Macaca fascicularis: one gene and its partners. The protein of the gene in region 3 interacts with the protein of the main gene of each other region in a pairwise test. Links are inferred from orthologs where the notes say so. Each region holds a gene or a part of one and is shown on either strand. Other genes may lie near its edges.

Region 1 (4,251 bases), about 2.4 Mb from region 3:
GGGGGAATAGTGGACTGGGGTATAGATGTTATATGTTCATTCAAGATCTGATCATTGTTCAAACTGGGTGGCACGTATATAGATGTCATTATATTGTTTCCCCCTACTTTGACAATGTTTAAAAATTTCCAAAAAGTATGTAAAGAAATCTGAGGTGATTCTAATGTGCAAACAGGATTGAGAACCACTGAGCTAGTCCACTGAAAAAGGCAGGCATTCAAGCAAAGTAGGCCCCCCTACCACTGTTTCTATCAGTTACTTTTATGACAGGATTTTCAGTTTAGAATTTGAAAGCTACAAACTATTAATATGCCTAGCCTTGGAGGAAAGCCCTTCCACTTATGACATGACATTTCTGTAGTAGGAATGAATGCGGCTGACGAGCAGAAAGATTATTTACTCCAAGTTACTCAGCAAAACTACCAAGAAAAGAGGCAAAACAACAATTAGAACTACAGTTTGATGTTTAAGTAAAATGTTGAGGTTAGAAGTAAAGAGGGTAGATTGAGAACTATAAAATATTAGATTTAAATGAGACCTTAGGAATTATCTGAACTAATTTTCAGACAATCTGAAAATTATATGAATAATTTTCTTAATTCACAAATGCCAAGACTGATGTGAGAGATAAGAATAATACAAAATAGGCCCCAGTTCAGACAGAGCAACCTGGCTTTTAATCAGGACACCAATTACTGCAGTCACAGTTCAACAAATACACTGTATTTAAATCCTGAGTCATCAGCGTAGGAAAAGGGTAAAAATATAATGAGGCAGATCATCTTTCGAAAGCTTTGAATACGTAAATTCAGATGGCTTGTAGATAGCCCAAATAAGAATGGAGAATAAACACCAATAAGTGCTCCTTTTAATCACTCTCACTTCTCACTTCTCTGTGATTATGGTTTGTTTTTTTTTTTTTTTTTCTTTTGAGAGTCTCACTCTGTGGCCCAGGCTGGAGTGCAGTGACTGGATCTCCACTCACTGCAGCCACCACCTCCCAGGTTCAAGCGATTCTCCTGCCTCAGCCTCCCGAGTAGCTGGGACTACAGGCATGCACCACCACGCCCAGCTAATTTTTTTGTATTTTTAGTAGAGACGGGGTTTCACCATGTTGGTCAGGCTGGTCTCGAACTCCTGACCTCAAATGATCCAACGGCCTCGGCCTCCCAAAGTGCTGGGATTACAGGCGTGATCCACCGCGCCCGGCTGTGACGATGTTATCAATTGAGATCCAAGGAAATAAATCATGGAATCCAAATTCCACGTGCTACCAATATGACAAATAATACTCTATTCACTCTCTAAAGCCCCAGTTCCCTGGGAAGTGACGAAATGATAGGAAACATCAAACACACCCCAATCTCCTCAAGCCCTCCATTTTTCTATCTCATCCAGTCAGTCTACCTGGAGAAACTACATGTATTTCATGCTGACAGCTCTAAAAGCGATTAGAAACATTAGAATGGTAATCGCTGCTATCAGCTCCATCTGTCCTTTCTTACAGAGTGAAAAAACAAGTTGGCTCTTCCTGAAAGTCCTTGGAATTGAGAGCAAGGTCTTCAAGGCAGCTATGGATTGTCGCTTTTTAGCCACGCAACATTTTGAAGTACTACTGGAGAGTAAACAAGTCGTGGAATCATTGGCTCTTCCACCTGCGGAGCAGCAGCGGGGCGTGAAAGAGGCACAGCCTCAGCCACCACAACTATAAAGTATGGGACAAAAATTAAGCAGTCAACCAAATGATGTCCTTAATTGATCCCCAAGACTAGGGGAAATTATTCAATAAGCAAGTAGTTGCTGCTTACAGCCGTGCCAAAAGGGAAGAAGATCACAAGTGCAGAGCTGCTAGGAGGGCAAAAATGATACTGATACATAGAAATTTTCAGAAAAAGAATTTCATGTAGCCACCTCAGGGCAAAGGTGAGAAACTACCACCTATGGTCAGCAACTCGTGCAACCTACCCTCTGAAGTTGTCCACCAGGGCTAACAAACTACAAATTCAGCAACGCTATAGAGGAGAGCCACTCGTGCATGTTAGGAAGAACCAAGGATCGGGGATGTCTATTGTCCCCATCCTAAAAATGTGGCCAACAGATTAGTCAGAACACCAGGAAAACAAGAACTCCGCCTCTTTATCCTATTTTGAGGCGGCACTGCAAGAGGGATTACCATCCAACACCTCTGTCCCCGAAAAATCCTTTTAATTCAAAAAACCATAGCCCGGTTCCGCGCGGCAGAAAAGAACCAAGAAAGGGAAGAGGAGCCCGGAAATCAACCCGCTGCAGTACTGCCACCAACTGCGGGCGTGGGACGCTTACCTTGGAGTCGGGGAGGCTGAACACGCTGGGGTCGTCCGTACTGCCCACCATGATCTTGTGCTCCTTCCCCGGGGCATGACCGCCTGCGCCCTCGGAGCGTGCAGCCTTGGCACCGTGGCGCTCCCCGGACACCCGGTCGCTGGTGGTGTTTCCCATGGCTGCAGCTCGTCGGGGACCACCTACCGCGGAGAACCACACCGGGCTGGGAACACCTCAGTAGCCGCGTCAGGGGCGCCCCCCGGCCCCGCCCATACGCCTTGGGACAGGGCAAGAGATTTCCCCGCCCCAGGGAAGCCAAGCCCCGGAGCCTTCTCCCTCCTGGCCTGCGGGAATGCCTGCAAATACCCCGGTGCCCTCGCTGCCCCTAGTCAGGAAACCCGCTATCGGGACTCCCCCGCGTCCCCGCGCTCACTGCCAGGGGCGCCCCCACGCCAGTCACCTCGGGCGATGCGCTCCCTCCTCCAGGGACCACTGAAGTGATGACTGTTCTGCAGATCAGGCCACCAATAAAGTTATTGAAATTGAAGCCGCACCCCTCGCTGGCGATCAGCGATTCCTCCTAAAATGGCTACAAGGCCGGCGGCGCGGAGTCGGCCCCGTGCGCGTTCCCTGCGGCCTGCAGCCTCGGCGTCCCGGGCCCGCCGGCCTCTCTAGCCGCCGCCGCCTCGATGGTGGGCAGTCGCACGCAGCCTCCAGCGCCAGGAGGGGGCGCCAGGCAGGGCTTGTGCCGCCTGGGGAGACTGCACCCGGGATCATTGGAGCGCTGGGCCTCTGAGACTACCCGGCGGAAGGGACGTTCCAACAGGACACTCGGAGGCCGCCTCCCTGGGCTCCGGCGCTCGGTGCCGGGAGAAGCGACGCGGCTTTCCACCCCGCCTTAGGTGCGCCAGCACGTTTTCTGGGCAGCATCTGTGTGTTAGGCGACGGGAGAGGGGGGTTCCTTACAGGGAATAAGAAAACCGAAACTGACTTCCAACTGCAGGCAGAAGGAAGCAATGGCCATTGCTGGAGGTTAAAACTGTTCTGGCCGGGCGCGGTGGCTCACGCCTGTAATCCCGACACTTTGGGAGGCCTAGGCGAGCGGATCACGAGATCAGGAGATCAAGACCATCCTGGCCAACAAGTTGAAACCTGGTCTCTACTAAAAATACAAAAATTAGCTGGGCGTGGTGGCGCGCGCCGGAAGTCTCAGCTAGTGGGGAGGATGAGGCAGGAGAATCGCTTGAACCCGGGAGGTGGAGGTTGCAGTGAGCCGAGATCGCGCCACTGCACTCCAGCCTGTCGACCGAGCGACACTCCGTCCCTCCGCCTCCCCGCCCCCCCCCCCCACAAGAAAAACCTGCTCAATAGGGAGCGACAAGGAAGGAGCTGTCAGCCCGACTGGGGTCGCAGGGAAAATTCAAGATGGCGTATTTAGGAGCTAGACCTTGACAAATTAGTAAAATGTTAGTCTTAGGAGAATAACGAAAAGGCTTTCCTAGTCTAAGAAACAGCATACGCAGTGAGAAACCTCAGAAGAAATAAAATTCAAGGAAGATGGCGACAACGAAAACATCAGAAGGAACCCTAAAGGTATAAAAAAGGCAAAGACAGTCGTAGGGTTGGGAGGGATCCAGGTTTTTTATGAAAATTAGTGGAATCCCTAAGGTACTTACCTTTGTATTAGAAGTATTTGCATGTCGCCTTCTCTACTAGAAACGTTTATCTGTGTTACACAGACCAGCAGCGTTGGCATCACCTGGGAGCCTGTTAGAAATGTAGAATCAGGCCCCATCCCCAGGGTTCAGAATCTGCATTTTAACAAGATCACATTAACGTGTGTGAGAAGCAATGCTTTGACAGCTGGCAGAGAGCAGATCCAGATTTGATACCTTTTCATATTCTGCATGTACCTTGTACAGAGCAGGCTTTTGCATTTGCGGAATGAAG
Region 2 (4,369 bases), on a different chromosome or scaffold from region 3:
CCTCTATGAAGCCTTTCCTTTTTTTTTTTTTTTGAGATAGAGTTTTGCTCTGTTATGCAGGCTAGAGTGTACTGGCGGGATCTCAGCTCACTGCAACCTCGGCCTCCTGGGTTCGAGCAATTCTCCTGCCTCAGCCTCCCAAGTAGCTGGGATTACAGGCGTGCACCACCACGCCTGGCTAATTTTTGTATTTTTAGTAGAGACCAGGTTTCACCATCTTGACCATGCTGGTCTCGAACTCCTGACATAGTGATCCACCCGCCTTGGCCCCCCAAAGTGCTGAGATTACAGGGGTGAGCCACCATGACCAGCCTGTGAAGCCTTTCCTAATTCCTCTAAACTGAGTTAGGTTGCCTCCCCTGTGCTTCCATTAACAACGTACACATACTTCTAGAGCAGCACTTAACCACACTGTGTTTTAATTGTTTACATGTCTGACTAGCCATAAGCTCTTTGATGGCAAGGGTAATGTTTTACCCATAACTGATTGCACACTTAATAGGCACTCAATAAACACTTGTTAAATGCATTAATAATGGGTGATATTGGAAGTCTTAAAGAATGGCAACATACTTTCTGGATTCCAGACCAAAATTACAGTAAGAATTAACAATGAAGGCTAAACTCTTATTATACATTTCTACTACATACACCATTCCTGGCCAGAAAAAGAGGCCAAAGATTTGAGAAGATTGTTCTAACAGTGCTGATCACTGCCAAGTTACCAGCCAAGAATAAGAGCACTTGCAGTATTAAGAATGAACAGAGTCATATCTAAAACAATTTCTACATTTCAGGCTTATTTGCCTGCCTCAGGAGAATAGAAACAATGATGAATAAGAGACCTTGGAAGGGTCACAATGTCCACCCATCACAAAACCTTGTAGCAAACTGTGATTCAACACAACTTCTGCTGAAATATACAGGAAAGTTGTTCACCTTCTTACCAAACCTACTCCAGGTTCTGCTAATGAATACAGGGCTGAACTAAGTCCTCCCAGAACCCTGCCAGTTGTACAGTGGCATTCTAAATCATTCCTCATGGGATTTACTCATCACTGAAGAGATACAGGCAAAGCAATACAATGCTGTGGTCTCAAATGCCTCTCCCAGTAACAACCTCGTACCTCACAAGGCTATTGTGTTTACAGGCTACTAATAAGACACAAAATCTGATCTGATCCTGTGGGAATAAAGCCCTGGTCTCAAGTGATTAAACAAATGTAGTCTACTTCTGGGTTCCCAAAGTTGTGGGGTTTATTTAGTTGAAGAAAGCATAAGGACCAAAACCCAGACAAGTGAAGGGATGGAAAGGAACTTTGCCTCTGAGGATCATCTGCAGCCTTGGCATATAGTGAATGAGATAAGCAATGCTCAAGGGCCATCCAGAACTTTTTGCTGACAGATATCTGGCTTCTTGCATGTTATCATTCCTAAGAAGCCAAGATGCTCCAGTTAGCCTCTTGAAGGGCCAAAAAAAATTTGTTTTGACCCTAGGCAAGAGCAATTACCAAGCCAGTAACTCTGACTAGGTGTTTTAGCTATTTCTTTCTGCCACTACAGTCTTACATAACCCCAGCTGTTACATTAACACCTGCAGCTACATTAGTCACACCTTAGCCCTTCACAAGGTATGTGTTCCTACTGTCCTTTCCCAAGAAGGGAAACTGAGTCATAGCATATCAACTGGCTTCCCAAGCACATGCTTAGTGTATAGTGAGGCCTCAATTGAACCCAGGTGGCCTTCCTACTATTCACCTCTTCTCATGGATGAATCTCAGCATGCCCACCCCTGCTGCTTTTTCCTTCAACCTAAATTGCCTGCACAGATCACATGTGATCCTTCAGAGTAAACAAGAGCTTCTAGTTATCTTTACCAAGAAACAGGAAGGTTAACGAGGAACATGGAGCAGGAGAGGGTGGGTTTGGAAAGAGGTGGCTCCCAACAGGACTCACCTTGGAGCTGAGGTCCTCTCGTCGGTTTCCTGCCTTATTTCTGCGCAGTTTGATGGATGGAGATCTCAACAGATTCTTGATCCGGCTGGTAATGGTTGACCCTTCCACAGCCATTATGACGAGAAACCCCTTGGGACAGTCCCCGGCACAGTCCTGGGTCTTGTCTCAACAGCGGCACTGTCTTCCCACTCCACAGGGCTTCCCAATATGCCCTCTCACTGACCTGAGATGGCAGAAGCCAAGTATAACAGTGTCTTACCTTCTGCCTAGCGAAGTCTGCAGTTTTTACCTCTGGGTATTGCTCTCACCATTTTCCTCACCCCCACCTTCTAGCCCTGCACAGTTTCTTGCAACGTCGGAAGGAAAGGCTCACGAAAAAGGGGGGAAATCCTAAGCCACTAAGAAATGCCAGGCCCACGCCCGCCAGAGGCGTTTAACTGGCGAGATGGATGGGATGGGCCCTAGTTGGTCTCGTGGACGATCTGGTTCCCGTTAATGCCCAACTGCTCCCATGGCAACTGTAGAGTCCAACGGAGGAGGCCGCCGAGACCACCAGGGATTTCCGCAGGCCTGGACACCTGCGCTAGCGCCGGTGGGGACTCGGCGCGGCGGGGCTCGCCGCAGCCCACAACTCGTTCTGCCGCGGGAGCCTCCCTCCCCCACTCCCTATCCTCCAGAGCTCGCTCTCCACCCTCCACAGCGGCTTTGGACCTTTATCTTTCACCCGCCTCTGAGGCCCCTGCTACTCGTCAGCGCCCCCGTTCGGGCCAGCCTCACCAGCCTCGGCGAGCGAGGGCCACCCCGCTCACAGCGCCCTCGGGCATCGCGTTCGGCAATTTCAGCTCCGCCGCTGTAGCGGCAGTGGTAGAGGCAGCAGCAGGAGCTATGGTGGCACGATCGGCTCAAAACGCGAACTACCGCCTGGGCCAAGCTGCGCGCCAGGTGGGCGGAGCCGATGCGAGGGGCGCGGCCTGTAGTCAGGAGAGCGCTTCCAGAGTGGACGAGCAAGATTTACGGGGGCGGAGCCAACGAAAGGGCCCAGGAAGCAGACGGCTTGGGACTAGAGAACCACGGAATCCGCACAATTGCGGGTACCGCTTTTAGAGGAAGGTCAACAGAACATGGCTTCAGAATTCAGAGAACCAAGCCTTTTATGGTATTATCAGGCCTGGTCCCCCATGTAACTGCACTTCCCAGAGCCCCAAGACGATAACCACGCCTCCAGAGTGTTAAGGTTGCCATTTGATAGGCCCGAGGGACCGTAGCTGAAACTCGTAGCTCAGAATTACAAGACTGAGCTACAGCCTAAGAGCTCTGCTGCCAGCGACCACAAGTGTTGAGATTTAAAGCGCCTGAAGTAGTTTCTGCTCGCAGCCAGTCCGGCACGTAGACTCAACGTGGAAAGGATTATTCTGAATAACGCAATTTAATAGCTAAGAATTTAATAGTGTTTTTGCACTGGGCAACCTGATTGGTCATTATGAAAGGGGAAAGGGTGGCCTCGAACAGAGCTTTGGGCGTGCAGGGGCAAGAGAAGACAAGTGAATGTGCTATGTTAATAATACTGCAGGTTTCATGGTTTCTTTAGCCTCCGACGTCCCATTGTGCTTCCTCAGCTAAAGCTGACCAGCAGCACTTCGTTGCTCCAGATCTTTCCTCGTTCCATTTACTTGTGAATCCTTTTCTCTAGGGCTGTTCCTTGCTGAGGTCACTGTCGAGCTTGCTGATACTAGATCGAGGGGTAGTTTTTCTAACTCATGTCGTTGGAGGCAGAGGGAATACACGGAAATGTTACATGAAATATGTATTTCCTCTGTATTCTCCACTTACTACCATAAGAAATTATGAAAAAGCCTAACCCAGAGACTTGGGCCCCAAGGGAATAGTACACTGGTGTGTCCGTCTCACCCTATCCAGATCTTTTGAATCCCTGTGGAGATGACATGTGTCTGCAAGAGGGAAGAACCTCTAAGAAATTATTATACCTTATGAAAAAGCCTAAGCCAAAGACAAGGGACCCAAGGGAATACTACACTGGTCTGTCTGTCTCACCCTACCCAGATCTTTTGCAGCCCTGTGGAGAAGACATGTGATAGCAAGAGGGAAGAACCCCTAAACTCATTGCTTGTGTACAATGGTGAGCCTTGTACAGCCAAGTGGCAAAGCACATATGTGCTTGTGTATACTGTAGCCACATACTAAAAATGAGATTTGTAAAGCCCACAAGTTGACATGGAGATGATGGATGTCATCTCCTGGAAGGCCAACTGGCAATAACATGTGCCCTTCTTCCCTTCAACCATGCAACTGCAAATATTATGAAACATAAAATACGATTTTCACATTTATTTCCCAAGTCTGGAGGAAGGCAAGAACCATTAGCTACAATATGCAAGAGATAGTTGGTTCCCTC
Region 3 (4,313 bases):
CAGGCATCTGGGTAGGCATCTGGGTGTGGAGGGTGCTCTCTGCAGGGACAGAAGCCTGGTGGTTACCTCTCCAGTGTCCAGAGAGCTTGGGGCTGGGAGGACAGATCAGAGTGGAGGAGGTGGTGAGACTGGCCCACCCCTTTAGGATCCTCAGGGTGGGAGCAGGGAGGATCACTGCCTTGTCCATCTGTAGAGGCTACATGGTCGGGGGCTGACCTCAGCCTTCCAACTAAGGCTCAGTCCCCACCCCTGGGCCCTGTAGGGGCTTCTTAGCTCCTCCCCAAATCCTACCTAGAGACTGTTTCTAGGCCGGCTCAGGCACACACAAACGGCTTTTTTTTTTTTTTTTTTTTTTGAGATGGAGATCTCACTCTGTCATCCAGGCTGGAGTGCAATGGTGCCACCAAAGCTCATTGTAGCCTCAAACTCACAGGCTCTCCTTCCTCCTCAGCCTCCTGAGTAGGTGGGACTACATGCGTGCACCACCACACCCAGCTAATTTTTGTATTTTTTGGTAGAGACGGGATCCAGCTAAATTGCACAGGCTGGTCTCAAACTCCTGGCCTCAAGCGCTTCTCCTGCCTTGGCCTCCCAAAGTGCTGGGATGACAAGTGTGAGCCACCGCACCCAGCCAGAGGGCTCCTTCTAAAATGGTTGTCATCTGCTCCCACTCCTGCCCTCCCAGAGGTGCCTAGAAAGTAGAGGAGGAAGGCTCCACTGAGGATGTGCCAGACACTCTCTCTGAGGATCCACCAGAAGCCCCTTCCTCGGGTCTTCCAGAAACGAGACCTTCCCCAGACATCTCTCTGTCCTACTTGCCTCCTGGCTTTCTCTTCCCTTCTGTGGAAGAGATGTGCGGGAACATCCAGGCACATCTCAGACACTTTTGGCCAAGGGATAAGCTAAATGGGTTGACGGTTTAATCTCTAGAGAAGAAGCCCGCAATGTAACACCCACTCTGGGTGCCAGCATCCAGCACTGGTTCAGTGAGGGCTTGTTTCCTGTGCGGCTCTACCAGCTGGGGAAGCGGGAAGGAGAGGTGCAGCCAGGGCTGCCTCTTGCCCCAGCCACAGGCCTCTCATTCTCAAGAGGCAGGAAGTCCATCTGAAGTTCAGCTTTGAACACTGGAGAAGTGAGGCTTGGAACCCTCCCGAGCCACAAAGCCTGACTCTCCTTGCCCCCTTCTCACTTAGAGGCCTTCCCACCCCTGCTCCTCATCCCACTCTTGGGTCTGCTTTCCAGGAAAAAAAAAAATGTTTCTGTTGGATCTGAAAGGCACCCGGGAAAGGAATCCAGGGAGCCCTCAAATTGCTGAGGTGGGCCAGCTCTGGGGCAGAAAATGACCAAGAGAAGGGAAGGAATGTGCCTGGGGGCAGACACTGCGCCCCACTGCCCTCCCTGAGACCTAGGGCTCATAATTTGAGGGAGGGGTCAGAGTGGCTGAGCCAGAGCGGGCGTGCCTCACGGTTTAGGGTTGGGGAGGGGGTTGCCGATGGCCACTCCTTCCCCTGGCTGGGCCGGCCACTGAGGTCAGCAACTCCGCCCTGACTGAACGGGGGAGGCCAGGGTCTCCAGAGAAGGGCCCATGTTCCACCCAAGTGTTCAGGCTCTGCCTGACTCTGTTACTCTAGCTGAGGGAAGAAGAAAGGGGGTGATGGTCACTGCCGGCCCCTTCTCTGATGCCGACCCCTCTCCATGCCCTCTCTGCCTCTGTTTCTCTCTGCCACCCAGATCTCACCGCCCCTCTCCACGGGTCTACCCAGTACACATAATCCCGTCCCGAGCTGGGTTTGGCCTTGGCAGTTCCCTGGAGAAGTGAGGGGTGGGGGTGACGTGAGCTCCTGGGGCCCGGGCCAGGCCTGGCTCCCTCTCTGGAAAAGTCCCACCCCACCCTCCCCTGCGCAGCCCGGCAGGGGCCCATGCCCCCTCCTCTGCAGAAACACACGCACATTTGTGCTTCTCACCCCTTTCCATGTGCCTCATTTGGTGTCGTTCACGGCCCAGGACGGGGAAAGGAGAGGTCAGAGGTTGGTGCCAGAATAGACCCTGGTCTGGACAAATGTGGGCTCCTCCGGACCACACCTCTCCACACTGCCCAGTGAAAACCAAGGAACAGAGACCTGAGCAGGGCTCACCCCTTCACCCCCAGGTCTCCCTGCTGGAGAGTGTGGCTCGACCCTATGTTTCTGGAATAGCCACAGAGAATCCCTGTCCTGAGTCCGAATTCCCTGGCCCTCATGGAGCCCTCCACTCCTGGGTCTGGCAGGCCACCCCAACAGGTGTCTTTCTTTTTTGTCAACCTCTTCTGTCATCGGACTGAACTGGATCAAGGGCACCCACCTGCGTCCCTCGCGGCGACCCTGTCCTCCAACTCCAGGAGTTGCAGTAGGGGGGCGGGAGGCACACCGTCCGAGAGCACCCTCCTAGGGAGAGGGCAGGAGGCGCTGCCCGCGCGGGGAGGTCGTGGGTCTGTTTTCCAACTTCGCTGTGTGACTTAGGAGGAATTTTGGCTCACTCCTCGCCCGGGTGATGGGGCCAGAGTTCCACGGGATCAGACCCCCTCCCCAGGAATTCGACCCCAGGGGCTGGAAGATCGTCCGAGGCCACCGGAGCTGGGGCCGGGGTCGTGGCGGGGGCGCGACCGACCGCACAGCGCAGGGAGAGGGGACGACGCGGGCGCGCGGGGCTGGTGGTCTAACGGGACCCGGGAGAGGGGCGGCCGGGGCCGGGGTCTCGGGGAGGTCTCTACCTGCTCTGCGCGCCCCGGTGGCCCGTTAACCCTTCTGCACCCGGACGCTCTCTACAGGCAGCCTCGCTCCGCGGCGGCCACTGCGGCCCCTGAGCCGCTCTCCGGACACCGCCGCCTCGGCCGCGACTCCGCCCTCGCGCCCGCCCCCGCCCCGCCCGCCACGCGCCCCAGCCCGCGCCCCTTGGCGGTCCCGGGGTGGGGACGGTCGGCCTCGCAGTCCCGCTCGCCAGGACCACCCACCCCGGGCTGCGCGCCGGGCGCCCCCGGTCGGCTGCGTGAGCAGAAGCCCGGGCGGGCCCAGCCGGGGTCGGAGGCTGCGGTCGCTCCCGGGCGCTGTCCTCGTGTCCGGCTGGGATTAGGGACTTAAGCAGCCCGGGCCTCCGAGTGGCTCGGGTGAGCGGTGCGAGAGCGGCGCGGCGCGGGCGGCCTCCAGGGGCGCCTGGAGCTAGGCGGCCTGGGAGAGCCGCTGGTCCGGGAGGGCGGCGCCCTGGACGGAGGTGCCCGCGGCCCCGGATCCGCGTGGGTCCAGGCTCTCTCCTCCACGCAGCCTCACCTGCAAGCTCAGTCACTCCTAGCTCTCCCGTGTTGGGCAGTGAACCCTGTGGTTCTGATTGCTGGGACTTCTATGAGCTTCGGTTTTTCCCTCAGTAAGGTTTTACACTCGGGACTCAGCGGAAGGACAACGTGCTGACTTCTGAGTCAGAGTGACCTGGTTTTGAATCTCAGCTCCAGCACTTGCCGGCTGTGTGGTCTTCCACAAATACTTCCACCTCTGTGTGGTGCAGTTTGCTCATCTGCAAAATGGGACTAATCTAATATATGGGATGGACTTGGATATGTCTCTTTATTTATATATGGAAGAATGCACCCCAAACTCAGTAGTATTGGTGACATCTGGGGAGGGGTTCAGGGTTGGAGGAGAACTGAAAAAGGCTTTTGCTTTTTACTCTGTGTTATGTTTATTATTATTATTCGAGACGGAGTCTCTCTCTTTCGCCCAGGCTGGAGTGCAGTGGCACGATCTTGACTCACTGCAAGCTCCGCCTCCCGGGTTCACGCCATTCTCCTGCCCCAGCCTCCCCCGTAGCCGGGTCTACAGGCGCCCACCACCACGCCCGGCTAATTTTTTGTATTTTTAGTATTTTGTATTTTTGTATTTTTATATTTTTATAAAATATATTTATAGTATATATTTATACTATTTTTTATACAAATATTTTTACAAAAATTTTATACAAATTTTATATACAAAATATATTTATAGTATTTTGTATTTTTAGTAGAGACGTTTCACCGTGTTAGCCAGGATGGTCTCGATCTCCTGACCTCGTGATCCGCCCGTCTCAGCCTCCCAAAGTGTTGGGATTACAGGCGTGAGCCACCGTGCCCGGCCTCTTGTTATTAATATTATTATTATTGAGACGGAGTCTCATTCTTGTCGCCCAGGCTGGAGGGCAATGGCACGATCTCGGCTCACTGCAACCTCCACCTCCCGGGTTCAAGCGATTCTCCTGCCTCAGCCTCCTGAGTAGCTGGGATTACAGACGCCCGGCGAATTTTTTTT

Evidence for each region.
Region 1: the proteins of ADAMTSL4 (region 3) and PRKAB2 interact in binary tests that used the Homo sapiens proteins (3 or more experiments, as listed by UniProt). The link is inferred for Macaca fascicularis from reciprocal best matches to the Homo sapiens genes ADAMTSL4 and PRKAB2.
Region 2: the proteins of ADAMTSL4 (region 3) and MAPKBP1 interact in binary tests that used the Homo sapiens proteins (3 or more experiments, as listed by UniProt). The two-hybrid records come from large-scale screens. The link is inferred for Macaca fascicularis from reciprocal best matches to the Homo sapiens genes ADAMTSL4 and MAPKBP1.

What each region holds. Positions count from the first base shown.
Region 1 is NC_088375.1:113,062,218-113,066,468, reverse strand, and holds the start of PRKAB2 (5'-AMP-activated protein kinase subunit beta-2), read right to left. Parts: upstream 2,808-4,251; 5' UTR 2,762-2,807; exon of another isoform or gene 2,502-2,761; 5' UTR 2,479-2,501; coding exon 2,323-2,478; intron 1-2,322. UniProt on the Homo sapiens protein: Non-catalytic subunit of AMP-activated protein kinase (AMPK), an energy sensor protein kinase that plays a key role in regulating cellular energy metabolism.
Region 2 is NC_088381.1:18,363,997-18,368,365, reverse strand, and holds the start of MAPKBP1 (mitogen-activated protein kinase-binding protein 1), read right to left. Parts: upstream 2,861-4,369; 5' UTR 2,734-2,860; intron 2,420-2,733; exon of another isoform or gene 2,180-2,419; 5' UTR 2,071-2,179; coding exon 1,957-2,070; intron 1-1,956. UniProt on the Homo sapiens protein: Negative regulator of NOD2 function. It down-regulates NOD2-induced processes such as activation of NF-kappa-B signaling, IL8 secretion and antibacterial response. Involved in JNK signaling pathway.
Region 3 is NC_088375.1:110,701,428-110,705,740, forward strand, and holds the start of ADAMTSL4 (ADAMTS-like protein 4), read right to left. Parts: upstream 2,841-4,313; 5' UTR 2,750-2,840; intron 2,494-2,749; exon of another isoform or gene 2,341-2,493; intron 2,092-2,340; exon of another isoform or gene 1,952-2,091; coding exon of another isoform or gene 1,737-1,951; intron 1,736-1,736; coding exon of another isoform or gene 1,626-1,735; intron 1,624-1,625; coding exon of another isoform or gene 1,460-1,623; intron 1,458-1,459; coding exon of another isoform or gene 1,259-1,457; intron 1,257-1,258; coding exon of another isoform or gene 1,186-1,256; exon of another isoform or gene 1,051-1,185; intron 93-1,050; exon of another isoform or gene 40-92; 5' UTR 1-39. UniProt on the Homo sapiens protein: Positive regulation of apoptosis. May facilitate FBN1 microfibril biogenesis.